Linked DNA regions of Oreochromis niloticus. The protein of the gene in region 1 purifies or fractionates together with the protein of each later gene. This does not show direct contact. Links are inferred from orthologs where the notes say so. Each region holds a gene or a part of one and is shown on either strand. Other genes may lie near its edges.

Region 1 (7,957 bases):
CATGAGCAGAAACAGTTACTATAAGCGGGTCAGAACAAGGATAAAGTGAGGGTGCTGCTTGCAGAAGCCAACAAAGGGGTGAACGATAAACCAGCTAGTGTCCATATCTGTGAAAACATGACAGAGAGGGTGTGCTGTCAGTACAGCTCTTCACTTTTAAAGAATAAACAATTTTCTCTGCAGGTCAACAAAAGATCAAATGCACTGTTAACCAAGGAACCCCTTAAACCCTTGTGATTGGACCACACAGTAAAACTGTATACAATGTAATGCGTGGTACTCACTTCTGAAACTCCCACTCCCTGTTGTCCAGAGGACACACCTGTCTGGTCTTCAGCCAGCGAGAAATACAGTGGAAGTGGAAAGCATGCTGGGAAAGAGAAACAAAAGGATGGTAAAACTACATAAAATAATTTCTCTAGTGAAAAACTGATATTTTACTTCAGGTTAACAATATTTAAGTATCATGTATTTCCATTCCCTTGTATTGTAATTTTATTTCTTTTTAGTCCTTTATTTATCCAGGTAAAAATCTCATTTCCAAGAGAGACCTGGCAATACTGGTAATACTCTAATTCTTTGTACTTCCACACGACAACAATCAAACTTTGAGGCACAACTGGAAAACAAAGAAATAGATAATGTGGGTTTAAAATAACAAAATGACCAGAGGATCAAGTTATCCCAGATTATTTAAAGCCATTTTTAAGGATTTGGGAAACTTTAAAACCTTCCGTTTAAATAGTGTTCATTGCATGTATAGTTCCTGCATATAAACCTGCATGATCAAGCTCTTATAAACACAACAGCCTTGTGCAGGAAATGCTTATTAAAGTTCATTATGATCAATGTTGGGAACATCGCTTCAGAAGTTATACTAATATTAATTTGTGTTTATTTAACATGATTCCTCTCACCTTTATGGATCAACATGCTGATCATTTTTGGTTAATATGAATCAAGAGCATCTACAAATAAAATAAATAATATACTTTATCTGATATTTGGGAAATCATTTAGTAACAACAGCTGAAATTAATAATAATGACGATAATGATATGTCACCTGGAAGATCACCTCTGCCCAATACATATGAATTCCTATATCTGCCCTTCCTGGCAGCAGAGATGATTGTTACAGGAGGTGCTTGTCCAAAAGTCTCACAGTCCTTGCCTGTCATCGTCTTTTTAAGATCACGCCTTAGAAGTCCTAATCTGATTTTGTGAATCTGCATGTTTTCAATATGAATGCAGTACGAATGCCAAAAACGGAGCCTCAACAACTGTCAGTGTTACAGACACCAGGGTCAGACTGTGAAGACTCAACTGTGGAGCACAGAGCACACACACTTCCTGTGACTTCCTCCTTTGTTCCCAAAAAATTAATTTCAGACACCCATTTTCATCTTCTTTGCTGTGTGTGATTGGCAACAAAAGCCAATCACACACAGCAAAGAGAGCGAGTGAAAGCAGAGAAAATCAAGCGGTCAGACCAGGATTTTGCTTCCACACTGCAATCCAAACAAAGAGCGATGGTTTCAAAGGGGAGCTGAGACCATTTTGATCACACTGTACATGTTGGTATAGAGACTTACGTTGCAAACACCCCAGGCTACAGTGCACTCTTCAGAGGTTGCAGAAGCTTGGTTGGCCTGGCACTCTATGCCTAATGGGTGAGGGGGGAAAAGAGAAATGTGTCAACATAAAAAGCACCATATCACCTACAATGATAAGCAAACCTCATTTACTGTCAAAATGTGCACCAAAGAAATCAAAGACCAAAATAATCAAAGTGAACTCACAGAGATCCATGATGTGGTTCCTACAGATAGCACAGTTATCCACCACAATGTCCCAGGCCCAGAGCGCCACAGCATTCCACTGAGGGGGGAAAAAATAAAATCACACAAATATATGATCTAAGATTCATAATCTGGAGATTAAGTAATTTAAAACATGTCTATATCCCTTTATTTGAACCACACGAGGGCCAGCAGTGCACAAACTGCTGTGACTTGAGGGGCACTTTTTGAGCTTAATGACAAACATGACATAAACATGTGTTTTATTTAAAAAATATATTTTAACTTTGGTTCATTATGAGTGTCAAATGTCTTTTGATTTAAAAAGAAGAAGCAAAAGCATCTCTTGAGTGTCTGTAAGAGGGCCGTATTCACTTCCCCATCCCAGAAATACGCCTGAGATGTTACTGTAAACTCTATAGAGAGATTTAGGATCTCATTTAAGGCATGGGGCCCTAAATATATCATTTGAGTCTAGCTTATTGGGAAAGGAATAGCATCGAAAACATGTCAAAAGTGTAAACATTATTTTTAAATACAGAGCAAAAATTACGTGTGAAATGTAGCTAAGCTAATTTCGCCGGGGTACCGGTTGAACAGCTGATGTGTTTCTGCCCATTACACCTTTGTTATTAATTCAGAGATATCTGTGTGGGTGTTTATTCTTAGCCCCTTAATGGGAAGTGCAAATTCGTGGGTGTTCGATACTAACAGCAACAAGCCTACTGTCTTAACTGATGCTATGCCACAGTGACTTAGCGCTAAAGTTAGCATGCTAGAGTTAGCATACTAAAGGCAGTGGGCTAACACGGCAGCATCACTGAACTATGATAGCGTCCATTGGTCACATTAGAAAGCTTCTTAGTAACTCCCCAGTGAGAGACTTTTTACAGCCATACCTTCTTTACTTCAAATCGTTTCTTGCTTGCGCTGTTAGTACCGCTCGGTGTATCCACGTCCATTGCTGCTGCCATCTTGAACAGAAGAGTATGACGTATGAGCCAAATCAGGCGGAAGAAGAGCGGCAGTTTCCGCCGGCGAATTTTAGAAAATTTTAAAGCGTATTATATCGATATTTGACGGCGTAAAGAAGACAGAAGATGGTCATTTTCTTATATTTATTTCAAAAGCTAACAATTTTAACTTTCATGAACACAAAGCGAAAAGCTTCTCTATGATCCAAAATGATTAGGTTCCACCGAGATTTGAACTCGGATCGCTGGATTCAGAGTCCAGAGTGCTAACCATTACACCATGGAACCCCATGACGATGCTTGAGCTATAGCTCGATATAAAGGTGGGTATTACAGACACCAGGGTCTGTCATTTCCTTTTCGTTATAGTAAATTGTTAGAGCACAAATATTGCTAACACTACCAACTATTTTGAATTAGAATTGGTCTCCCATCGATGCTATCGTGATTGGATCAATACTTTGTTTCTATTCTAAGTTCAGTTTGTAGCCCACTGAAATTTGGAATTGAAAAACTATAGCTCAGACATGCCGTATGAAAATATCTGAAAGATTTTGTATTTACCGTTACGTCTAGAATATTTAATCCCTATAGCACATTTAAATAACAGATGTTGACCAAAATCGCTTAAAAGACAGGTCTAAAAAAGAGCAATTTTAAAACAATTAAAGAAGCTGAAAGATTTGTTTTGTTGTTGTGTTAACTAATTATTGTGGGAATTTTTTTTTAAATCACAGTGATTTTAGTGGTTATTAAAATGTGTTCAGAATTTGCATATTGATGATTCATTTCATAAATCACACAGCTCTCCCTTACATGAGCTGCCCTTATAGGCTAAAAATATTGGTATTGCTATAGGGAACACTGGCTTGATATCAGATCAATACCAAAATTTGCAGTACTGCACAGAACTAGCTGTGGTTTTGTTGGCTTTCAGTATGGATACACCCATAGATAAGATTTTTTTAGCCATCTGGTTCCCTTCTATAAACTACACTCAATCCCAATGTGGGATATTGCTGTGCAGTCTCACATAGGGACAATGTGGGATAACATGGCCTCGCTGATTTCACCTACGGACACAGCGCTTGGCCTCTGTAAATTAGTATGTGCACCACTAAATATACATTTCTGTAATATGCATAGCAGTTGGGCTCTTCTAAAAATGCGTTTTTATTCCCTCTCAACAAACCTTGTTAGTGTCGCATTAAAGTATCCCTGCAAGAATGGTGAGAGATTGGCTGAGTGACTGTCAGGTTTCCTCTGACTTTTTAACTTTGATTTTTCGCTTGGATAGAAAAAACTTGCATGGCTCAACATTTTAATTTAGAACCAAAAAAATGTAGCTTTCAAGAAACCCAACTCCTTAACACTCAGGTTTATTGCAAAAAAAAGAGTAAAAGGAAAATGAGTTACATGTTCTCATTTCAGTATCTTCTTTTTCTTTGTTACTTTTGGTGGCCCAGGTTTTCTTTGAGGCTGCTTCCTGGGCAGTTTGGCGACTTTAGCTGTGGTCTGTGCTTTGATTTTTCGGGACTTCAAGGAGTCTGCTTTGGATTTCTTCACTTTTGGATCTGCAGCACTTTTCTTTTCTTGTGGAAAAATGTTCTCTGGACAGGACTTGAAGACGTGGATGCCCTGGACCTTCTGACCTCTGAGCTCAGGAGGGTGACCACAAGTTGCGGTCAGCTCCAAACTAACATTCTCCATCCACCTGAGCCACAGACACAAAGCAACAGAGTCAGTAAAGCTGTCAGTTCATTCTAACTGTAATCGCAGGTAAATCTTATACCGACCTGCGCAGAGGAAGCAGAAAGCAGTCACAACGCAGTGGGTTGTCCTGCAGGTCCACGGTCTCCAGGCCGGTGAGTGAGCTCAGATCAGGAAACTCCTCCAGCTGGTTTCCTCTCACAGTCAAAGTCCGCAGCTCTGAGCCCAGCCCCAGCAGCGCATCCTTGGAGATCTGCACAGTGGTGCAATACAAAGAGTTGAAAAGAAAATGCTGTATCTTGAACAAGCCCTCAGTGCAGTGAATAATCAGCACATATTCTCACATAAACAGTACAGTCAGTACAGTCATGTCTGAACTAGATATTGGAAGCCTGGCGTGTGTTTAAATACTGACAATGCTGAGAAAACATAAACACGTTGCAAACTAACTTGTGATATTAGCTTAAAAGGGTCTCTTGTACCTTTTCCATTCCCATATGATCCATGTAAAGCCTCTTCAGACTTTTGGATAAGGGCTGGAAAGCATTTGGTCCCACCCAATGAACTGAGTTTCCAGAGAGGTTGAGCTCCTGCAGATTAGGGGTCTCAACCAGAGCGTGGGTGGGCACCTCAGTCAGCTGATTTGAATCCAGGTGAAGGGTACTTAGAGAGTCAGAGTCAAGAGCACCCTTGGCAATATAAGTTAAGTTGTTATTGCTCAGATATAACTCAGTAAGTTTAGAGCCCAGTGAGGACAGTAACCCGCTGGTCTCAAGTTTAGAGATGGCATTTTGCTCCAGGTGTAACACAATCAGACTTGGTAAGAGTGACAGAGCTAGAAGAAAGACACAGAACAGCCATGTTTTAGTTCCAGTGTTTCTTGCAGATAGTATCTACTGAGAGGCAGACTTAATGTAACTTATCCACTGACCTGATCCAGGGAACTGTGCCAGCTTGTTCCTCTCCAGGTGGAGGTAGGTGAGCTTGGGCGCTCCAGCAAAGGCCTTGGGGTCCAAGGACACGAGGTCATTATCAGAAAGATACAAATACAAAAGGTTTTTCATCCCCTGGAGGGCACCACCTTCAATTTCATGGATTTTGCAGGACTGCAGGTGAAGAGAAACAAGTTGGCTGCTTCCTGGGAAGCTGTTGGCTGGAAGGTAGTGGAAGTGGTTATCGTGGAGGTCCAGCAGCTGCGTCTTGGCGGGGAAGCCTCGTGGGATTCTAGTATGGCCCCGACCCTCACATGTGGCATGCTGGGTCTCAGTCTAGAGAAAATCAATTTTGAATGTGATAGCTGCAAAACGCCTCAGTGGAAATAACAAACAGTCATTGAGGAAGTACTCTGAGGGTTTAATTAATATAATACTGACATATCACAGTGCTCTGAGACACTGATAAACATATGAGTAAAACAGCTGCCTTGTAGCACACAGCATTAGCCTTCATTTAAAGGCCTTTGAAGCATTATTTGTGGTGTGCCAAATATCTACCACTATGTTACCCATCTTCCTACAGTGGATTTTTAGAGCTTTCAACTCAATTTTATTTATAAAGCATGGCCACTTGATCCAACCCCTAACTAACTGCTTTATCAACACCCTTTTAGCATAGCTCTCTAGCTTAAACTAGACTGGGTGTCTGCCTCCTGAATTCAAACTGGAAGGTGGTCCCACAGATTAGGGCCCTGAAAGCTGAAGGCTCTGCCTCCCATTCTACTTTTAAATATCCTAGGAATCACAAGTAAGCCCGCAGTCTGAGAGCCAAGTGCTCTACTGGGATTAGTGAAGTAAGTAAGTACAAGTGAGCCAAGTGAGAGTCTGGTAAAACAGCAAATCTATGAGAAACTGGAGTTTTTATTTGTTCTTCCTGCTTTCGTTGTTGAGAGATCAGCAAATGCTGGAGTTGAACTGAAACGTTCATGGAAGTGTCCCAGAAGTGTTTTCTGTCTCCAACTTACATCACATTCACAGTTAGCTGGACACTTGACCTTCTGCTTTGGCTTGGCAGTGGCTGTGACCGTGGGTGGGACTCTTTCTGTACTCTCCTCCTCCTCATCATCCTCCACCGGTGACTTCCCCCTCCTGCAGCGCAGATCCTGAGGAGACACCGCCTGCAGAGGCTCATCTGAGAGGTGAGGAGGTCCAGAGCAGGCTCCCAGCAGCTTCACACCACTAACTCTTGCCCACTGCCTCAGTGGAGACATATAGCAGTTACAGTAGATGGGGTTCCCTTTAGAAAAAGTAAGAAATGCCTGTTGGTCAGCATGTAAAAATGACACATGGTATGCTATCACCCCCCTACATCTTTCTTTCTTGGCCTCGCTATGAGACATGAGAAGTCAGATCACTTACATCTGCTGGTTTGGAAAAAATGAAAGCCTGTTATGTTAAAGTAAAAGTCTGTGTCCAATAAAAAAATATCAGAACACAGGCTTTACCTGTCAGGTTGAGGCTGGTGAGCTCTCTAGGGCCTGAGAGGGGCTCCAGGTACCGGAGATGGTTGTGGCTGAGGTCAAGGTGTGAGAGGAGGGGGGCTTGAGAGAAGGCCTTGTCTGAGAGGTCCTGAAGGGACATGTGGCTGAGGTACAGGTGTGTAAGCTTTGCCATGGAAACTGAATCTTCCCCGAGGTAGACCATGGGGTTGTGGTTCATGTGCAGCCGTGTGACCTCACGGAGTCTTAACAGGTGAAGGACATGGCAATTTAAAATTGTCACTTAAAAGCTCACAAATTTGACTCATGGTATGTATTGTGGTCAGTAGTTTGACGTCTTTCTCAGTGCTGCTGCAGCTGAGGATTCAATACTAAACACACATTAAAACACACACATCAATACGTCCCATAATAATCGTTCAGGTTGTCCCACCTCGTCATTGTCTGTGTGGGGAAGAACTGCAGCTCATTGTGATCCAGGTCGAGGCGGCTGAGGGTGAAGAGCCCAGCAAACGCCTCAGGTGCCAGGTTGTTCAGAGAGTTGTGGCTAAGACGAAGAAACTTAATGTTCTGCAGCCCCTTGAGGAGGAAGAGGAAGAGGAGGAGGACTGTCGTGGAATCGCATTACCAAACACATCCAAAAAGATTATTAAAGTATTTACCCATAATTTGGAGTACCTGGAAGACCATGTTAGGGATGTAAACCAGCTGGTTGTGGGTGAGGGCCAGTGTGTTGAGGAAGCCGAGCTGTGTGAAGGCTCCAGGCTGGATCTCCTCGATGCGATTGTGGTCCAGACGCAGCTCTTTCAGGGAGGAGAGACCGTCAAAGGACTCCTGCAGCAGTGAAAAGAAGATAACATCATTCTCATAATAAAGACTCGAGAGGAAAAACTGTGGGCCTCTGATCTTACTTGGTAAAGGATTTCAATTTTGTTGTGAGCCAGGTTTAGAGAGACCACTCGGCCAAGAGTCCGAAAGGCGCCCTCTTTAATCTCAATGATGTTGCAGCGCTGCAGGTTGAGATAGGTGAGGTAGGGT
Region 2 (7,209 bases), on another chromosome or scaffold:
CAGGAATGGTGTTTATTTAATACGCTGTATTTGAGCAACGAGAAATAGCCGGGAAATCATTCATTTATCAGGCTTGACTTAAACATTGCTTTACTAATTCTGTGTGCAATCCAAGACAATTTAAAAAACAAAGGAAGTACTACATGGCTGTAAGGGCTTATCTAACAGGTGCTCTTCAGTAGGGCAGATGCAAACTCAGTATCAAAGAAGGATCACTGAAGCAGTCCAGCTTCCCTGATGAAGACAGAGTCGATTTACAGTCCCATCTTTCACAGTCATGATAGTTTCTCCTTATCTGGCATGTCTTCACACACAGGTAGTGTGCACAGCTGATAAAAGACAGGGTGAAGTGAATATTGATTGAGTTAGCGTTAAAACTCCAAACACGCAAAGAAAAACTGTTGGTGAGGAACTCAAGTGCCTGCAATCCTACTTATTACTTTCACTACTTTTAAAAGTAAAAAATGTCCACCTAGAGAGCCTAACAATATAAGCAAAACAGCAAGTAACTAAGTGTGTAAGCAGCAGCAAGGGAGTGCTGCTCATTTTGAAGGACAACGCTGTGACTTAAATTAGGCTTTAATTTAACAGGCCAGCATGACTAAGTGTGCTCTTGCTATGCCCTGTTGCCAATCCACTGGGGGCTTGAACAGAGGGAACAGTTTGTTCAACCAACAGCAGAATCCAAGTACATCCATTGCAGCATCTTCCAGACATGTTTAAACCAAATTAGGCTAAGAAACAAAACAATCTTTTAATCAGAGTCAAGAGGTACTTTTATCGGAGTAATCCAGGAGGAGGAGAGGGCTCTGGCTCTGCAGACTGGCTTACAAACAAATACTTCTACAGGGAATATGTGGGATCAGAGCCACTACGTTGAACCCATTAAGTTGAAAATTTAATGCCTTCCTTTTCATTCGAATCCCACTTCTTCTTTTCAGAATATGAACTGCCTGCAACAGTGACGTACAATACAAGAAACATGTGGTTAATGTCCGTTTGGAGCGCTCTGATCAGGAAGGGTCTGAATTACTCAGCAACAATGCTGCTGTGAGGGTTCAGTTATATAACAAAGCACCTGTAAGTTGTGTATACACACCCACACGCACACTGATCGTTATGTGAAGCATTGATAAAAGGACGCAAAGCAAAAGGCCAGTTTATATGGCCTTGTAGCTTTCCAATCTGCAAGTAGGTTACAGTGTTCTTTGCAATCATTAAAGATTAAGGGGAAAAAAAAAACAAAAAACAAACTAAGTTTGAGTGTTATTCATTTTACCAACAGATGGGGACACGTCAGTGGCCATGATGGAACTCGTCATGAGGAAGTCAGCCAGTTAAGCTCGCTGTAACATGAAACACTCTGCGATTCACATTTACTGCTGTGCCTCCCCCCTTCCAGGATTCTGGGTGAAATAGTTTCACAGGAGAACATATTGCTCAACTCGCCCACTTTCCACAGCAGACAGAAACGACTCACTGACAAACAAGCTCTCCAAGTCCCACGCTCTACCTGCTGCATTTCTCTGACATTTCATCAATAATAAAAACATGTTTTTAGGTATGATGAATGCGACAGGTATAACTGGGTCCAAGCCACTCTAAAGATAGTATCTGTTGTTGAATCAATCAATGGATGAATCAGCTGACAAACACTGCATGTATTGTGATAGCATTTATTAAGACATTTTATAACCTACGCATGTGGGAGATCCTGAAATTTTACATGCCATAAGTCAACGACTCCTAGCAAACATCTGCAGGGTTTTCCTCCTCTAGCATGAGAAAACTTGTTCATTACAGGTTGTAGAAGTGAAATTAAACTGTCACTCAACGGTGACACTAAACAAGGAAGTTTCAAGGAGTTGGCAGCAGTAAATCCTTACAAAAGGACGAGCTCAAAAAGGAAACTGAAAATATGCAGTATGCATCTTTAAAAGATGAACGTGAACGATAAACCAGCGATTTATGCTGATGCTGCTAAAAAAAAATCTTCCACTGCGACCCTAATCTTGACAAGAAAGTTGGCTCATCAATAGCCACAGTCATAAAGATGCACACTCACCCCTGACAGAGACCCTGCACGTCGGTTTGCGTGCCACCCTTCAGGCCTACCTACAGGTCTTGGGTGTCTTACAACAACTGGAGGGACTCTACAAGTTTAACAGTTTGATCTGAGCTACACCTACAGCTGTGTCAGCGATTTTTATTTTGTTTTGTACTACAGAGCCAGCAAACGCCATCGAGACAGGAGTGAAACAAACACAAGTACAGAGTCCAGCGCGTTTCTCGGGCATTTTGGCAACCAGCTTTCCTCGGTGACTCATCGTGAACTCTTCACCGAGCAAACAGTGGAACTGGATGTACCAAAACATGACCCAGAAGTGAAGCCAGTCCCTTACATAAACCATGATGGACTTGGATTTCCGCGCCATTTACCTGACATGAAGAGCACACAAAAAGCCATCGTGTGTCCTCTACGAGGACCATTTCTGAGCTTGCGTTTGTCAAAAAAATAAATAAATAATCCACAGACCTGGCATGCAAAGGTAGAACAGAGCAAGCAAAATCGGCTGCTAAAGGTTTCTGGTGGGTTTGCAAAGACGGTGAACTCAGAAGGTCTCACGATGAAAGAGCCGTAATCCCCCTCAAAACAACAAGTCAAACGTTTCGGAAACAGAGCTGACAGCAAAATAGGCTCCTAATAATAGACAGCAGAGTAACGGCTGTGAGCCGACCTCGCAACAAACGTGCTAACAAAGCGGTATCAAAATATATTCTTGCTAACACACCCGCACAAAATCTAAACATGTCCAAACAACTGACATTAATCACTAATGGCTCCTTAAATTTGGAATAACAGAGAATTACCGTAGTCTAGAACAATTCCTCCATCGCGGTCTGCCGAGCTGCGAACCACACAGAAAGGAGGAGAAAGCTGTAACTCAGCGTGACTAAGCATTGTACCGGCCTCATCTCGCCTTCACAATAAGAGCTCGCCACTAAAGCGTTGGCCCGCCTCTGTTTATTACTAATGGCAGACAAACGTGTCCCGTGGGAGGGGGCTTTTATTGAGAAGGAATTCTTAAAACGAAGGAAAAGCTGGGCCAATTTTTGGCAGGGAGCCAAAAACTGCAGCTTTAACGTCAATCAAAATTTGACACAAATACCATATAAAGGATAAAACTGCAAAACAGGTACTTCTTCTAGCAACTTAAAATGGGATCTAATTATGAGAAAATAACTGCAATAATGCAGTAACACTGCTTTAAAACTGTGTGAGTAATTGTTGAAACGCCAGCAGGAAATTACTAAACTGGCATTGTTTAACGATCACTATGTTGCTCAGACATAATGGTGTGTGCTCTAGAGACATGGTTATAATGTTACTGCAGTTCTGCCTTAAAACATGAATGACTCCTACATAGCACAGGAGCTTGGGAGGAATCTGTTTGCAGTGCTGACACACCACTAAGGGGGTTTTCCCCCTCCTTCTTCCAAAACACGTAATTCAGGTCACAGAATTTGATGTTCTGCTTAAAAGCCAAAAGGTGGCACCAAAAGCTAACTGTGAGACTGCAAGCGTAAACACTCACTTTTGAGTTTAATCCCGTGGAATGAGCTGCCATAATATAACCAAGACATTTAAGCCCTGTTGCTCTGCAACCACAGTTCACAGCCCATTACACCAAGCACCCCATGATAAGATTCCATCTATACACCTTAAAGTTGAAAGGACTGGCAAATCCTAGATATGAAATGACAAGTCATGATGCATACACCACTTAGAGTTCCCCCAAGACTCTGCTGTGTGTCTGTGTAAAGATCCAATCAGAGGAAAAGGCTGAAGTAAGCCTTGAGGCACCAAACTGCTCTTCTAGATGGATGCTTCCTATACACTGATCGTACAAAGGTAGGTTAAGACTGCACCCACATTTGTACTACCAGTTCCTCAGCTCTGTCATTTCCCAAATTCTGCTAGAGCAAGGAAAAGTACAGTTTTTTTATTTGTGGCTGTGGCATCAAGGGACTATCAATGGTCATAACTTGTAACAGTTGAGTTCATTATAGCAGAACAGAAGCCAGAGTACAGGAAAGATTCTCTGACTTGTCGACCTCTGCCAGGAGGCACAGTTCTCATGGATAAAGCAAACATCTGGAGGACCACCTGCACTGTACAAATCATATAAGAGGTATTCTAGCACCATGAGGCAGGGCTTATGTCTCTAGGCCACAGAAAGTAAAAATCACAGGAAAATATCTGCTATCTATCACACTAAGCATGCTTTGCGTTGTTGACATTTTTTTAACAGTGGCCTGACAAAAAAAACATGTGAAAAATAAGTGAAGAACTTAACAGCTTCTTTTAGCTTCATGCAAATCAACCAACAGTCTTTACCAGAATTGAATGTTAGCATTAAAAATCATGTCTTCATAACTGTAACTTTGGCAGTATTATAAGACAAATTTAGACATAAATGCAGGCACTGAATACAGTTTTCTTTCTATAGGAGCTAAATTAGCTGGATTCATAACAGCTGTGTAATTTTTCTTTATTTTAACTATAGTTGATGTGGAGGGCCAGTTCACAGGAAAAACAAATCAAACAAAACAAAACCTTGGTGTTCAGTGTTTATTAAAAGTTACATTGGGTACACTATTACACTTGGTGTGCTGGGCATTATTGACAGTTTATTTCTAACAGTGGTGTGACATTTAAAAAAAACCCTGAAAACCACTTACCAACTTCTTCTATTTATAAGTCACTGGTCATGACTTCTAACTTTTAACAGTTGAGTCTGCTGCAGCAAAAAGCAAGGTGGAGCACAGGACAGCTCTGCCAAATGCCGGGAAGAGGGGGTTATGGTTGACTACAGAATGCCTTTAGGGCAAAGACAGTTAAAATCACACGGAAAAATCTGCTGTCTGTCACACTAGACGTGCTTTGCATTATTGACATTTTTTTAACGGTGGCCTGACAAAACAAAAATCAACAAGAACTGAAAAGCAGCTTCTTTTTGTTTTCTGCAAATCAACCAATATATTGTAGCTTAACTGGATACATAACAGCTGTGTAATTTCTCTAAATTTTAACTATGACTGGCATTGTGGAGGCCGGATCAGTGTGAGGTGATAGTAACTTGTAACCACTGGTTAAGAAGTATTTACTAAAAGAGGCATTGTGTGGAGGTTAAGCCACTCAGAAACAGGCAAAAGTTGATGTATATAGGTCAATGCCATTACCAGATGTGAGATGAGGGAGGCTGACTTCCTGTGATACTTCTTTGCTTAACCACAGCTACACTAACACAATAATACACACTGATGCACTTAAGAATGCTGCAGGGCACTAACAGTGAAAATAAATTGAAACCCCATTGGAATGTTTTAGAGAAACACTTTATTTCTTTTATGAAAAGAAACACAAATTTTGCTAACGTTTTCTTGTTACAAAATATATATAATTTACAATAGAGATATAAAAAATATGCTCACAAATACATCAAGTTCACTACATACATTTTAGTACAAAAAAAACCACAACCTCATTTAATCAATTAAAGTCTTGAATGACGTAAGAAAAAAAATCATTCAGTACCTTTAACTGAAATGTTCTGTTAACTTGATGAACAATGAAAGGAAGCACTGAAACAATTGCTTGGTAAATTTATACCAGTTCAGCATGATCTGTAACTTACAAAGGCAGAAATATTTTTATCCATAAAACTTGTGATGCAGCTGAATGAACTTCTTTTTAAGGTCGTCTTCTTCACAAGCTGGAATGTAAAGCCTTGACGTGATGCAACTGCAGCTGATTTGGTTTCAGTTGGAGTTAAGCTGTCAGCCAGTGGAAAGTAAACATTACTTGTAACATTATCTTTCAGTTAATCCGATGCTAAGTATGATGACATTTTGTAAATGCAGCAGTTTTTACTGTAGATGTCAGGTTGACATTTCAAAAAAACTGGACACGACCCCAACAACTTTCCACGTCTACCGCAGATAGGTTAACCACCTGTCATTTCAAAACTGTTAGGGGGTTTTAATGCTGCACCTCCTCTCCCACATAATTTATTTGCATACAGCATTCAGCAATTTCAAGAAGGGTGCCACCTTTTTCCTGTTAACTTAATTCCTTTGCATCACGTACACAGATACGTGTAGGGTAACCAAACATCTACCCATGCAAATCTAGCACACAATCAGTCTTCGAACCAGCGAAATCCAGGTGTCTGCAGATTACACGCTGTAACTGTTAGGAGTTTTTATTCTGACTTTAAGGCACTTAAGAAACTGCAAGATGAGAAACGTTAGCCTCCATATTATTCCAGCAAGTACATAGTTTTCAGTCTTTCACTCTTTGAGTTTACAGAAGCGTCCTTCTAAGCTTCACACAAAATACAGAAGCCCAGAAAAAATTGAGTCCAAGGTTGCATATGTCAGTGCAAATTAATAAAGAAGACGTATTGCTAGCATCATATACATAAAAAACATTGCTTGTTCACATTTGAATTGCATCCTTTGCTCTCTGGTTTGGTATGCTTCATCAAAATGAAATTTGGTGATTCAGTTATATTGCCATAACTGCGCCACACTGTCAAAGATGAGTCATCGTCTTTTATACGCCCCCTTTTTATGGCTCTTTGAAAAAAACAAACAAAACAGAACTGTCTCTCAATAGTGGATGCGCTACATATCCTCTATTCAGCGGGAAACCCATTTACACATTTTGGACACAGTCAGTCAAAGTCTTTATGACTTGAAAAGTTTGGGGTATAGGGCTTTAACTGGAGATGGAGTGGTGATGACGTTTCCAGATGAAATAGTTGTCTCCAGACCCGGTTCTAACTTCTGGGAGGGCACCTCAGTTTTACTGAAACTGCACTCCAGGAACGGCATCCCAATCTTCTTCACCTGCCCATCTGAGGTCATTAGACATGGCCGACAGAGGAGCCTCAGAATGGCTCTCCTCATGTCCTTACTGGTCAGTGTGTAGATGATGGGGTTGAGGAGCGAGTTGATAATGGCTACTCCCAGGAAGTACTCAGCCTTGTAGAGCACGGGGCATCCGCGGGTGGGGCAGGAAAAATCTATCAGGAGGAGAATGAAAAGGGGCAGCCAACAGGCGATGAAGACTCCCAATACAATGGTGACTGTCTTGAGGAGAGCAATGTACTTCTCTGACTTCCTAGCTAAGCCCTTCCTTAT
Region 3 (7,282 bases), on another chromosome or scaffold:
CAAAAAACCAAAAAACCAAACCATTGGCCCGGTGACAGATCTATTTTATAAGCACTCTTTAAATGACTATAACTCTCTTACCATTGCGCTAAAGAGAAAATTGAAATGGTTTTAACCCTTTGAAACACATCATATATCAGTACTTTTAGTGTACTCAGTGAATAGTTTTATATTTACTTTTTGTCTATACAGATGTCAGATGATAGACTTGTTTAAACGCTATTATCAAACTGCAGTTTTTCGTGTGTGTATGGGTACATTTCTCAGGACATGATGTGAAGTTAATCTAAAAGGAGTGTTAGTATTATGAGGTTGACAGAAATATCTCTGGATAAAACTGATGAGCTGTACAGCACTGTGTCATGACTCTATCATAGACTTTTGAGAGCTACTAATTTGATATTTTGCTACTCTAATAAAGACAGAACACATAGTCATGGGGTACCTGTACAGAGGAGGCCGTCCTTGTAATAAAGAGCATATACTCGAGCACTGTGACCAATAAGTGATGACGTCTCAAAGGCTTCTTGATCCTTTAACTGCATCATACGCAGCTTAGCCTTCAGGTAGACCCCCTTCCAATGTGATGCATCCTGAATGGTCTCATCAATCTTCCAGCCTAGCTCCCGACACACACCCTGCCACACCTCAGTGCAAGAGTTTATCACCTACCCCCCCAAAAAAAAGAAAAAAAAAGAAAGAAAGTAAGAATATTTGATATGTTAAACAAGTTTTGTCAGGCTCTGTGGATCAATAATAAACATCCCTAAAAACTTAATTATCCATCTGTGTCACATAAATTAAGCTGTATGACACATTTAATCAATTAAATTTCCACCTGTAATTCACTTTGCTCATGCTTCATATAATCATTATCTATACATTTACACAAACATATCAGAAAGTCCATGCAAACAACCAATATATATAATATATATGCCACTTGGTGGAAAGGTTCATATTCATCTAACTATGAGAATGTATACAGTCTTGGCAGTCTAAATATGTGTTCGCTTTTCATGCAAGCAAACAAAAGTCATACCAAAACACAGATGTCAAATGCATTTTACATCACTGGCCCCACATACAGCCCACTTTGATGTTAAGTGGGCTGGACCAGTGACACTACATGATAAATGTGTAAAATTAGTTAAGTGCACAAAACGCAGTCTCGTATGCTTTTTCTCCCACATGTTATACTTCTAATGTGACAGTATTACAGATTCATCAACAGATCAATCCAGAGTGCTGACATGATGTCCATCTCAAGCGTATTCCATAAGAGCACTGAACAAACACTATTCTTTTTCACGGATACAGTAAACCAAGAAAGACTATGTTGAAAATACAACATGAACATATCACAGTTGGAACTGTCAGTGAAGCACATATGTGGGCATACATCAGTGCAACAACATCACTGTCTGTATATGTTTCTCGGTTTAGCTATTGACTGTATCTTTGGGCCTGGACAACCGCCATATCTGCAATTTTGGATTTAGGTTGTTATTGAGGATTAAATGGATACCTATAGACAGCATAATAACAGATAAGTACCTTCTACAAACCAAACAATTCTTTCAAAAGCTAATAGCTGCACTTTTATCAAAAACTGAAAGAGGACATTAGATTTCACTGTGAATGTTTGCATGCATTATTTTCTTTGAAATTCCATTCCTTGAGTAAAGTCAGATAAACAAGGAGTCTGGAAATTTTAGAATTACCTTGTTCCATTGTTTGCAGACTAGGCAGCAGGTGAGCAAGGTCTGAGGATCCAGCCAGCGCAGCAGGTAGAAGGCCAACTCCAAGGGAAGAAGGCGCAAAAAGTCACGTTTCAGCAGTGTCTCTAGTCCATTAGAGAGATGGCGGAGCTGAGCAGCACCACTTAAAGATATGAGGTGGTCCAAAGACTGGTTGCGCTGCTGGTCATTTAGAGTAAGGAAAGTAGCAGAGACTGACTCCAGCCACCCCTCAAATGCTGCCTTCTCCATGGGCACATGAGAGCGACCTGCAAGAGCTATAAGAATAATGCAGGGTCTGACCTCATCACTTTGGTCAGGAGAAAACTACCAAACTCAGAATACACAGAGACAGATTCAACATCTGGGATAAAAAAGTGATGCCCTCCAGTCATTGCAATAATCTTTTTTTTTTTTCTTCTTTTTTTTTTAAAGAATACGTTTGAGCCCCTCCAACCCCTTAACATTTAAATCTCTTGAAGAATGAATGACGCCAATTCTGAATCCCTGAAAGGTCATGAACAACAACAATACAAAATGTATGATTTAAGAAGTGTCCCTGGTTCAGACATTTGACCTGGATCAACCAGCATCATCTCCTCACTCATACAGCGTTTAAGATCCGGCCATACATTTGTAGCAGGGCAGCTAATAACCAAAACTGCAGAAGGCTTTCCGCCAGGCTTCATAAAGCCTTCCGAGCCTGAAAACGACACATGAATGTAAAATAAAGTACATTCGGGTATATGTTTCACTTATTTAAAATTGAAATTTAAAGGAAGCCACTTTTATGGGCTCCTGCTTGTGCATTCGTTCTAAGTTAGCCTGACTAGCTAGCAACTTTTGTAGCTAACGTTAGCTCTGTAGCAGTGTTATTGTTTAGAGCAAACTGGCTACAAGTGGAAACACTCAAATACTTAAAGAACAGTTTATGCTATTAAATGATTTATAACTGTAATTGGAAATTCAAATTGCCCACCAACCAGAGTTGCGGGGAGTTTCCGGATCAACACTTTCCCGGCTTAGGTCACATCGCTAAGTTAGCTGTCGAAAGCTAATCTGGCAACCACCAAGTTAAACGGATTCCAAAGAAAGCTAGTTTTGCAGTTGAGGTTAGCTAACAACCACGATAATGCTTGTTTTTGTTAATTTTGAATTACACGTAAAACACGTAGCGGTAGTCTTCGTTACAGTTTCATGGTGTAGATATTTCATGCAGCAGGGGAAAATGATAGCACCTTCTGACAGCATGAAACTATAATATAATGGAAACGCTACCCCTGTATAAAGTGGTCGTTGTCACCCTCAGTATAATCTTACAGGAGGCAAAGTAAGAGTTTTTACCTCAAAACAACGGGCAACATTTAACAATATACCACCGCATATTTAGTAGCTTCGCCAACATATTCAGTATACTTATACTTTATAACATTTTTGCATTTTTATTTTCAGCGTTCCCTCTTATGACGCAACTTGCCTGTAAGACAACGCTGCTGGCATCAAAACAAATAGATTCACTAACTTCCGGTTTTCGCGCGAGTAGGTGTGTCCAGAGTCAGAACCCTTGTTTTAAAGAAAAAAATTCTCTTTAATACAATTTCTTTAATAATCTCGAATACATAAAGGAGTATTAGTACGACGGAGTAATAGCGCCACGTTAAGAAAAAAAATATTATTGATCATTTTGAGAATAAAGTCGAAATTTCGAGATTAAAGTTCTATTTCGAGGAAAATAGTACAAATACTGTTTTGAGAAAAAAGTCGAATAAAAAAAGTGAAAAAGTTCAATTTTGCTGCACGCTTTGAATGGTAAAAAGTAGCACCACCTGGTGGACAAATATAAAAATTGAACCGAGTAGTCCAAAAGAAAATCTTAGTATTAGTTATGTATGGAAGCTTCATTCCGCCACTAAAAAAAACCGCTATCCATAACTCGAAATAAGTCGAAATTTCGAGTTATTATGAATAGCATTTATATTTTTTTAGTGGTGGAAACAAGCTTCCATAGGATAGCAGTTAATCGCATGGATAAAATTGAGAATGGTATAAGGTCTACCCCAGTACTCCTCACCTCTAATGAAGGATATGCTACCAAGGAAAATAATGTGGGATGAATTAGTTACACTTTGATGGGGTAGAGCCCTCCAGTGAGATGTTTCAAGTGTCAGAGTTATGGATATGTGGCAGCTAGGCTGCTAGGATTCAAGGAGATTAATGTGGAAGAAATATGTCAAATTACCTATCCTAAGGACAGTGAAACACAAAGAACCAAACAAAGTCAGCACTTAGGATGGGATGACACAGACACAGAGGACTTGTTCTAAAGAGACTGAGGTTATGATCATGGCAATAGCAGCATTTGCATACTGCTGTTTGTTATGCTAGGAGCCTCATGGCAAATGAATAGGAATTTCACCGCTTAGACATTTTCTAAGCGGTGATAATTAAAAGCCTAATATTATTTGCATTGTTAATATTACAAGAAACTTGGTTTAAACCAAGGCTAGGTTTTGTGATTCCAAGATCCAAATGTGAGAGGAAAAATAAGGAGATAACCTCTGGTGGTGAAACCTATAAAACCTTTATTAGAAAAGGACTAGAAATGAATGCAATAATTGAGTGCATAATAACAGAAGTGTGGACAGACAGGGGCAAATTTACTGTTGTAAGTACATATAATTTCTGCATCACATTAGAGGAAAACTATTTTGTAGAAATTACAGATAAAATCGGTGTCCCTCTAATGTGGGTTGAAGACCTAAATGCACATAATGAGCTGTTGGGAAGCAAGAAGAAGGACAGAAATGGTATAGTAGTGGAGGAATTTATAGACAAATACAACTTGGTTGTTTCAAGTGACGGATGACCAACATGGTTTAGGACAAATCAAACAATATCATCATCTATTGATATTACATTTGTATCAGCTGATTGGCATTAGTTAGCAAATGTGATTTACTGGAGCGAAGTACGATGGGAAGTGGCCATACCCCAAAAATCAGTAGCAAATAATCAGTTGCTTAGTTGGAATGAGGAGTCAACAATACCCTCCCATAAGATTCAGTCTATAGCATTATATAATATTTTATTAGTGTCCTGTTAGACCCATTTATTTAAAAAAAAGAAAAAAGAAAAAAAAGAAACAAACAAATAAAAAACAGTCTCTTTACAGCTCTGAGATAGTCGTCATTTACTTCCGATATTTATGATATGGCATTATTTTTGTCAGTTAATAAAGAAATATTTTAATATACCAGTTAACATGTTCTGAATAAGAAACATTTTATTGTCATTAAATATCAGATGTTCAATGAAATGATAAGTTTTTACATTAACTTACATATTCCACTCTCTGTGTTCCTTTCATGCACCTTTGAAATGCCGCTGGTGCATTTGATAATACAAATGGCATCCTGCCCCTCTAATATAGCCCCCAAGGAGTTGTGAAAGCTGTCAAGTACATCGATCCTTCTGCTATGAAACATTGGTGGTAGGCTTTTCCCTGGTCCAGTATGGAAAACCAGCTGGATCCCTCCAGTGAGTCAGTGAGATCCTGGTTCTGAGTAAACTGGGGTTGGTCTGGCACTGTTTCGTTATTCAAGAGCTGATAATCAATACAGAGGCGTAGGGACCCATCCTTTTCCCTCACACACGCCTGGAGCACCATAGGGTGACTAAGATTTAACAAGCCATCTTTTTACCAACAACTCTGGAATATGTTCTTTTACCTCCCTATCGACCGGCACATCATCCTTAAGTCTGATTTCTATTTACAGGGCTGAAACACGACCTCTTCACAAAACATTTCTTCCACCACTTATTGCTTTTCGGGGATCAGATGGCTAATGTCAGGTGGTGGAAAAGCAAGAGTCCTTATTGGGGTTTACTGGGAAAAAGTTAATCTGAAAAGATTAACTGTTCTCTCATGTCCATCTCAGTCACCTTGGTGACCTGCTAAACTGTACCAAGAAGTTTTCTCTTTGGTAGCATGATCTCATGTTTTAAGTGCTTAGAGATCAGTACCATGATATAGGGGTGGTGAGGGTTATCGAACTCCAGAAGGCCTTCCCTCAAACTCAGCTGTCCTAGGACATCGTCCTGCTCCACAGGTTCACACAAAAACAGTAGTCTGTACCAAACCTGGAATGATAGCATTGCCCTTTCCCACTCTTACTGTAGCTGTGTCACAGTATTTTCTTTGTTGTACCTGGATGAAACTGACCATGGGAATCACTTGTTCACCATTCCAAAGACATCGCATCGGAGGCTAACAACTGTGGGAATGGCATCACCTGAGAGTTCTTGTCTCTTGATAATCGCTTCAAGCACATTAGCTGCTAGTAGGTGCTGTTGCAGTGACAGCTGACTGACCAGGAAGGGGCCTTGAATGGTGAAACTGGAATTGTGATTCCCTCCTAAGGTGAAGATGATCTCTACCCAGCCATCTTAGGGGATGGTGTGGCCATTAACTGCATAAACATCAAGGCTTAAATACCTGACCAGTGGCTACCCAGTGAAGTTCAATTCTATTCAGCTCATAGGTGAACATCATCAAAAATGGGCTGACACCCACATTCCCAATTATACAGTCAGATCCCTGCAGGAGCTTTTCAGTGAAGACTGTCTTCACTTTTTAGGTAGGGGTACCTTGCATTCATGGTGCTCTGACAAGCGACTTTGTGTGACTGTTGCTTGTTTTCCTGTGGTCGACAGACAGATCAGAATGGTGATAGACATTAAAATAACATAAATATTAACAATACTTTTAGGCAATTTTATTATCACCATAGTAAATCACCAGGGCCTGATGGCCTGAGCTGTTAATTCAATTTTTTAACAAGGGTTCCAGCATCATGTGGTATGATCATTTCATTAGATGCAGAAAAGGCCTTTGATTGTGTCAACTGGCTGTTTTATGTTTTGAATACATTTGGTCTGGGAGACATATATATTAAAACTCTTGTACATTACCCATTACCCTTTCATCATCACTAATGGCCTAAGATCAAGCAGCTTTCAACTATTCTCAACATGGAGATGTCCTTTTATACATTTCAGAAATTCTAATTGCTAGATTTAAGAAATATCAATAACTAAGATGAGTGACATGCTAAGATTGCTATACCCCCTCCAAATAATTCTTTTACTTATATCAAACAAGGCTCAAAAATTACTTATATGACTTTATATGGAACAAAAGAAAAACAAGGTTAAAGGTATCAAAACTTCAACTTTGTAGTTTAAATGGAGGTCTGGCAACCCATCTCAGGTTTATAACAGAATGGATCAAAAATGACCCTCCTTTTGTATAGCTGGGCCTGGAGAAGTCTGAAAACGTCAAAAAGGTCTCAAAAAGCCAGGTCTGGGAAAAAGAACTTGATTTAAACATCAGTGAAGAGGAATGTAATGTACTTTGGGACCATACAAACAAAAAAAAATCTATGTGTGTAATCACATAATCTTTCTTAAGATTGTTGCTATTTAAAATCCTGCATCATGTGCAAATCTCCCCAATGAAAGGCACCAGAGGAACCACCAACTTT
Region 4 (7,248 bases), on another chromosome or scaffold:
TGCTGGAAGTGCTTTTTATGCAATTTTTGCAAAGCTATATGTGGAAGGAAACCGTGACCTAGGGCAAGCTAATGGAATAAGATGTAAGTACAACTCCTCCGGTTTCACATGCAAAAAAAATTATTGCGCTACCTTACGTGGTTCCAGTTCTACAGGGATTTAAAAATAGTTAGGCAAAACGGAGCGTGCCTGCTCCGACCGGTTGTAAAGGGTTAATTATATATTTTATGTAATAATTCATAAAATTAGGGTTAGAAATGATAGAAACGATAGAAGACAAATGGCACGATAGACACTTTTCTATCGTCCACACGATATATATCGTCATATCGCCCAGCACTAGTTGAATGTTATCCTTGATCAATGTCTGACTTCTCAGAACTCAGAAGTTTGCCGGCTGAAATTTGGGTAGAAATTTTTAGTTTTAAAAAAGGTTTTTGAAAGATTTCTAAAATATTTCTGTTTTTTGTTGTTGTTGTTGTTTTTATGACTAATAATTTGTTAAGCACAGTATACTGTAATAATTAGTAGCAAAATTAGCAGCTATAAAGTATTAACACAATGAAATAATAGAGATTTATAAGTCTACGTAAATGTATAATAACTTTGTATTGTCGGCACAGATGCCTCACCTTCTAGAGCTGACTGCTGCTCTGTGGGCTTCTCCAGGAAATTCTTCAGACTCTTCAGGATGTTTTGCTGTCTCAGGAAGTAAAGGATTTTCTTTGCATAGTACTTCAGGGTCAGGCTTTTCCTAATGAGTCAAGAATGGAGAGATGGTAGATCAAAGGAGAGCACATGCAACAAAACAAAAGCTATCATAATCACAGAGGTCTTAGAGAGGATTAACATGATCAACACCCAAACCCATTTGTGACTGCAAACTGTACACTCACCAGCCACTTTGTTAGGTACACCTTGCTAGTACAGGTTGGACGCCCGATTGCCTTCAGACCTCCCTTTATGATTCCTGGCATAGATTCAAGAAGGTGCTGAACATATTCCTCTGATTTTGGACCATTCGGAAAGGGTAACGTCACACAGATTTATTGGCTGAACGTCCATGATGCGAATCTCCTGTTCCACTACATCCCAAAGGTGCTCTATCAGACTGAAATCTGGTGACTGTGAAAGCCGTTTGAGTGCTGTGAACTCACAGTCATGTTCAAAGGGCTAAAAGTGTGCAAGAAAATATCAGCCACACTAATACACGACAACCATCAGCCTTACCTGCTGATACAAGGCAGGATGGATCCCAGTTTCATGTTGAGATGCTGGGTGTTCAGCATTTTCTGAACTGCTAACTAACACCAGCACCATTCAAAATCACTTAAATTACTGTTCTTCCCCGTTGTGATGCTAATGAACTTCATTAGGTCATCATTACCATGTCTACATGCCTAAATACATCGATTTTCTGTAACTGGCTTGTTAGACACTTGCATTAATGCGCAACTAAACATGTGTACCTAATACAGAGGTCAGTGGGTGTAGAGCTACAGAGCAAGAATTTCAAGTACTGAGATTTTAGTATAAACACAGTGCTGCTCTCACCTCTTGTCAGAGTTGAGTATGAAGAGCAGCTCGTCTTCACAGAAGTGCTCAGGCATTCCAAGTGACTCAATTTCTGCAAAGCTGTCTCCCAGCACCTGACCAACGCAAGGCTGCGTTACAGACCTCAAGATTAGTTTGGAACATTGAAAGCCCAGGTTTTCTTGCATAAATATGTGCGCATGAAAAACCAAACAAACACCATTATATCTGTGTTTTCCATGCTAAATAATAGACTTGTAACCTGTAAAGTTTGCATGCGTTTAGAAATATAACAAATTTCAGACGTATCCCACGTAATCTCTCACAAACATGCACTTAATTTGATCACCCTAATTGTTGTATCTTAAGTGAAATATGTATAACTGCTACCGATCCACGTGTTACCAGTCTATCACAAGTTATTAAAGTCAAATGTAACACTGTAAAACAGATAACGAAAAAAACCAACACTGATGAAACTGATTACTCACAACTTCTGTGAAGAATCTCTTTGAGATCGATTCCACGGTCCTTCGTATTTGTATCCCAACTCTATGGCGTGTTTTGTATTCTCTGAGCCAGTCACAGGACTCATTCTGACGATAAAACCTCTGCAGTCTTGGCCATCTGTTAATGAAGGCAGTGTAATGTTTTTATTACAGGAAAACAAATAAAAATTCTGAATGATTTAACAGCCTCAAGCGTTAGATGTTAGTCTCTAGAACTGTTTATCATCTTGCTGAAGAGGTGTCTTTTGCTCTGCTTAAAAAAAAGAAGAGCAAAGCTGTCAGCCAAGGCACTCAGGAGGAGGGCTTACAGTAACTAGCTTTTGCCAAGAGCTTCACTCTTCTACAGATCAGAGGCAAACATTCAAGGTCATACAAATTCATTGTGGATGAATTCATTTGGTGTGATGGAGAATAAATTGCTACTTGCAAAAGCTGTAAACATTTATAAGCCTCATTGTTGTTGCAGGGGGGAAGCCACCGGCATGGCGTGATGATGAATTTGGTGCATCAGCAGAATGTCAACGGCTGACAGCTGCCTGTGAGTTCGCAGTAAACGAACCCACCTTAAAGCAGACATTTAGAGATTAATGGCTCTAAACTACGCATAAATAACAAAAGAGTCAGATTCCTTTCTATAGACAGCATAAAAGCCACCAAAAGCCAGTATAGAATACCACAAAAAACAGCACCTGAGTTTATACTGGTGTCCCCAGACCTTCCCCCTTCCATGACAAACGTCGTGTAGCCGCTTGCAGCAACAGGAGACGTTACAAATGTCGACATGTTTGAGGACAGGGAAGCACAGGATGTGTTCGAGCAACTCGGTCGGCAGGTCTGTCAGTTTTTTTGTTTGGGGGTCGGGAATAGTCCCATTTAGACTTGGCTGTCCCTCTCCATCCACAGGCGTCGCCATCTTTACTGTTTACCCCGATTACCTCATTGCCTTTTCGCCGCCCCTTTATGGCGCAGGGGGCCGGGCCGAGGGCGGAGCCACGTTCACTCAAGAGGAAACAAAAACCGGTGCTGCCTTCATGACCATCGGAAATTCTGCACATATTTTATATTATTTATTTATGTTTTATTTTTATTTTTTGCAAAACAAACTACAGGCAAGTCAAAAATATGAAAAGGAAACTTTTTTTTTTTGAAAGTACAAGTCTTGTTTAATAGGCAAGTAATCTCAGATGTAATTAACAGGCCTCACTTATTTATTCTACAGCATTTTACCCTTTGAGAAATTATTTTGTTACAAATGTAAATAATAATAACAATAATAATAATAATTATTATTATAATGATAACGATAATAATAACATCCATTGTCCCTCCTCTGCACAAGTCCAAACCACTCCAAACCAAGCATCTCTAAATTCTCGAAACTGTTCACCTTTAGCGTAGTCATTTGGTGTAGTCATTTCTAATGCAGGCCATTTTGGTCATTCCTATTGCAAATCTTACTATTGTGAACTCTGTCACCTCTAACTCAGCCTCCTGGCTATTTGTTGGTCCACCGTCTCCAACCCATCCATCATAACAGGTCATCTTGTAGTACCATCTCCCCACATCTCCATGCTCTCTTCCACTACTACTTCTACTACTACTACTACTACAACTACTACTAATAATAATATTCAATGAGTTAAATGGTAGATAGTTATCGAATGAAGTATAAAGGATTTCCTGTGTCTGTCCACATGTCAGTAGAGCTAAATCCATCTGTTGGAGAAAGTTGACTATTCCTGTCTAGTAAAAAATGACAGAAATTGTACAGATTTTTTAAAAAATTTTGTTTGTTTATTTTTTCTTACTTTTGTTTGTGTCAGAAAGTGTAAAAGTCCCATCTTATTTAGGATACATAAGGCCAAAGGTCACTGGTTTTGATTTCAGAGGGCACACAGGACAGAGACCCTGCCCAGTATTTAGAACAGCTGCATTTGTTCTTCAACAATCCACTGCTCAAATGCCCAAGATTAGCTGATATTACTTTTCTTTAATTTAAATGTAAATTAATTTTACTGCCCAGCACTTTAAAATTAAATATATTCAGATTATGATTCCATTTCACAGACCAAAGCAGCTACTTCTTATAACTGAGACACTACACAATTAGGTCTGCCATTTTTGTATGAAAAAGATACAACAAACTTTTTATTGATCGCCAAAATAGTTGTGGATCTAATCACCACAAAGTGAACCCCGTGAGCTTGTCTTAGAGTAAGAAAGCGAAGTGCATTCAAGCATTGATTTATAATGGCTAAGCCATAAATAGGATGCTACCATTAAATAAAATGGCATTTTATGTCAATGCCATTATTATGTACTACGTTGCCATTACAACATTTTGGGCGGTACCCGAATGCATCATTGGATGAGATGGCTAACAAGTGGTTAGCAGCGGTTAGCTGGTATTTCGCTTCCTTTTTAGCGTAGTTCATGTGTAACAAGTTAAGTGTTTTGACGTCTCCAGGCGGAATGATTTGGGTGAGACGCATAAATCTGAACATTATCGTATTTCTTACGGATCTATGTAAAGTTGTTGCCACTTAAGGGTTCATATTATATGTAACCTTAGTTAGCTAACTAGTAGCAAGCCTAAGACACTACGCTGTATTTATCTGCTTGGGATGAATGTATTGATAATTTTCTTTTTAGGAGTTAAAGGGAAAAAATAACATAAATACGTAATTGCGGGACAACAATAGAGCAATAACATGCCAGTTAAAGTCTTAAAAACCCATGTAACTCTCGTTTGAGCATCCAGCGATAGATGAACAATTAATACTAAGTCTGGAAAGTCACATGCACAGCTGTGCTTATCTTTCAACTATGCCGGATGACTCGTCTTCTATTTCCACCAGAGAGTTAAAGAAGTTAAACAAAATGGCTTGACCGTGCACTCAGTTTGTAGGTAAGTGTAGGAGCGACTCTGAACAATAGAATTGTTAGTTTTTTGAACTGTTCGCCATGGCAAGTGCCTTAGCAGCAAAAATGGGATTTAACTCGCTGATGAGAAAACAAGCGAAGACCTTCAACGTCAGGATCTCAACAATGGAGTCAGACCTGGAGTTCAGCTGCGAGGTGAGACTGATCTTAAATCCATTCAGCTTGAGCCAAGACTTTTCGACAATTGTAGTGACTGTGGCCACAACACCAGGTACAGCTAATAACGACTAGTTAGCAATTACTATGCATTGTATTGCTTCTGCAACTGCACTTAATGCTTGATAACAATCTAATGGATACAGCAACTGAATGGGTACAGGTGTCCATTCCTTTTTAAGATAAACAATTAGCACTTTTCGACACTAGATGGCAGCAGTCAACTGTGACCCATGAACTGAACAGCTGTAGCTGATATTATGGTGATGTTCTACAGAAGATAATCATCTGTTATATGTTTATCTGTGTCGTCTGCACCAATGTGATCAGGGAAATAGTTGGTGGCAAAAGTCAGTGCATTATAAGGTTTGCTGAAGTTTATCTGCTAGCAGTTTGGAGTATACAACAGATATTTATGCTGCTTTTTAAAATGTAATTTTGGCCTTTATGTGGTGTTTTGGGTTTATCAAATGACTGGGGATATGTGAGAATTGAAAGGCATCAAAATAACTTGCAAACACCATGCGTTTTTTTTTACAAGGGAGGAACGCCACTAAAGTTTAGAGATAGTAATTACACATAACAGCGTCATCCGAGTTGCAGGTTTCTATTTTCTGTGCTAGGATGATGATTGTATCAATTATGGGTTGAAGAGAGAGTACATAATAAGTATTGGTCAAATAGTGTTCTTTCAGCATTGAATAGAAGTATTGCATGGTCAAGGTTGCCATTCCTTGTGCATGGAGAGTTTTTTATCCTATTCTTTTGCAGTTCTTAGAGCATTTTTTTCATGCCAGCCTTGGAAGCACTTGACAGTAGCTTGCAACCCAAGTTAACTCAGAGGCTAGAGATGAAAGCCAATCTAAATTGGATATGTGTGCCTGATATGCCTCCCTCTTAGCTCTCAGCAGGATGAGGAGAACATGTATGATTCTCTTCTTGGAACCCAGTGTTGTAATAGAAATGCCAGTATGACTAGATAACGAAGATGCAGGATATTATGAATGCAAAATTTCCTCCTATCTTTTTTCTGTGTTACAGGTCAAGTGGAAAGGAAAAGACCTTTTTGACTTGGTGTGCCGAACTCTTGGACTGAGAGAGACATGGTTCTTTGGCCTCCGGTATAACATCAAGGACACAGTTGCATGGCTTAAAATGGACAAAAAGGTGACTGCTGCACTTAAATTGTTAAAAAAAACCCGATGTGCTATTTAAATGCTGTTAATATAGATATAGGAGTCATGACAATAAAAAAAAAGTTGTTTATTTGTTGTTGCAGGTTCTAGATCAGGAGGTGCCAAAAGAAGAACCCATCATCTTTCACTTCCTGGCCAAGTTTTACCCTGAAAATGCAGAGGAGGAGCTAGTGCAGGATATCACACAACATCTCTTCTTTCTACAAGTAACTATACGCTGTTTATGTAAAATACATCATTTTGTACATTTAGACATTTGTTCTCTCATTTTCAGTGTAAGTCAGGACATATGTAGTGCACACTGAAATATTTGATTTTAACAGATTTTTCTTTGGCCTCTGGGTTTACCATGGAGACTTTGCTTGTCTCTGACATTATTAGAGCTGGCACGATACCACTTTTTTATGTCCGATACCGATACCGATATCATAAATTTGGATATCTGCCGATACCGATATGAATCCGATATAGTGTGTTTTTTAATCAATAAAACTGTTTTTTTAATATCTTGCTGCATTTTGTATAAGTTCATACTCAAGTTTAAATAAACAACAACACTAAAGATATTCTGTTATACCTGTATGTAAAAAATACACTGCACCCAAAATATTTCATAGTTCAGCAATACTGATCAATCTAATAAACTTAAACCTACTCCATCCTCCCTATTCTGGTATTTTAAAGAGTACTTAGCAGAAATATTAAGCAACCTAACTAATAGGGTTGCAAACTCCCAGCAAAAAAAAATAGGGAACCACCCCCCACCCTCCACCTCATGATGCTTAATCGATGTAATCAACTTTAATTTGATGCTGGGTGAAAAAAATGCACAGAAATAAATTATTTTTCAAGAATAATTAAAAAGATTCAACATCTGTCTTCAACAGAATTGCAGACTGCACAGATGGTAT

What was found.
Region 2: the proteins of rbx1 (region 1) and keap1b purify together in Homo sapiens (affinity purification with western blotting; 6 studies listed by BioGRID). This does not show direct contact. The link is inferred for Oreochromis niloticus from reciprocal best matches to the Homo sapiens genes RBX1 and KEAP1.
Region 3: the proteins of rbx1 (region 1) and fbxw2 purify together in Homo sapiens (affinity purification with western blotting; 3 studies listed by BioGRID and IntAct, with this or other methods). This does not show direct contact. The link is inferred for Oreochromis niloticus from reciprocal best matches to the Homo sapiens genes RBX1 and FBXW2.
Region 4: the proteins of rbx1 (region 1) and fbxo21 purify together in Homo sapiens (affinity purification with mass spectrometry; 3 studies listed by BioGRID and IntAct, with this or other methods). This does not show direct contact. The link is inferred for Oreochromis niloticus from reciprocal best matches to the Homo sapiens genes RBX1 and FBXO21.

Annotation. Positions count from the first base shown.
Region 1 is NC_031969.2:9,352,174-9,360,130, reverse strand, and holds the start of rbx1 (E3 ubiquitin-protein ligase RBX1), read right to left. Parts: upstream 3,018-7,957; 5' UTR 2,776-3,017; coding exon 2,701-2,775; intron 1,881-2,700; coding exon 1,802-1,880; intron 1,666-1,801; coding exon 1,595-1,665; intron 371-1,594; coding exon 285-370; intron 108-284; coding exon 95-107; 3' UTR 1-94. Other genes in the region: chadla (chondroadherin-like protein), read right to left, coding at 4,198-4,489, 4,572-4,738, 4,968-5,320, 5,417-5,753, 6,446-6,717, 6,926-7,164, 7,353-7,498, 7,598-7,753 and 1 more. UniProt on the Homo sapiens protein: E3 ubiquitin ligase component of multiple cullin-RING-based E3 ubiquitin-protein ligase (CRLs) complexes which mediate the ubiquitination and subsequent proteasomal degradation of target proteins, including proteins involved in cell cycle progression, signal transduction, transcription and transcription-coupled nucleotide excision repair.
Region 2 is NC_031971.2:24,647,353-24,654,561, forward strand, and holds the start of keap1b (kelch-like ECH-associated protein 1B), read right to left. Parts: upstream 3,017-7,209; 5' UTR 2,872-3,016; intron 1-2,871. Other genes in the region: s1pr5b (sphingosine 1-phosphate receptor 5b), read right to left, coding at 6,754-7,209. UniProt on the Homo sapiens protein: Substrate-specific adapter of a BCR (BTB-CUL3-RBX1) E3 ubiquitin ligase complex that regulates the response to oxidative stress by targeting NFE2L2/NRF2 for ubiquitination.
Region 3 is NC_031972.2:10,100,842-10,108,123, reverse strand, and holds the start of fbxw2 (F-box/WD repeat-containing protein 2), read right to left. Parts: upstream 3,022-7,282; 5' UTR 2,723-3,021; intron 2,018-2,722; 5' UTR 1,992-2,017; coding exon 1,725-1,991; intron 669-1,724; coding exon 446-668; intron 1-445. UniProt on the Homo sapiens protein: Substrate-recognition component of the SCF (SKP1-CUL1-F-box protein)-type E3 ubiquitin ligase complex.
Region 4 is NC_031977.2:29,805,397-29,812,644, reverse strand, and holds the start of fbxo21 (F-box only protein 21), read right to left. Parts: upstream 3,011-7,248; 5' UTR 2,956-3,010; coding exon 2,732-2,955; intron 2,161-2,731; coding exon 2,025-2,160; intron 1,665-2,024; coding exon 1,555-1,664; intron 755-1,554; coding exon 633-754; intron 1-632. Other genes in the region: nf2a (merlin), read left to right, coding at 5,007-5,120, 6,183-6,308, 6,421-6,543. UniProt on the Homo sapiens protein: Substrate-recognition component of the SCF (SKP1-CUL1-F-box protein)-type E3 ubiquitin ligase complex.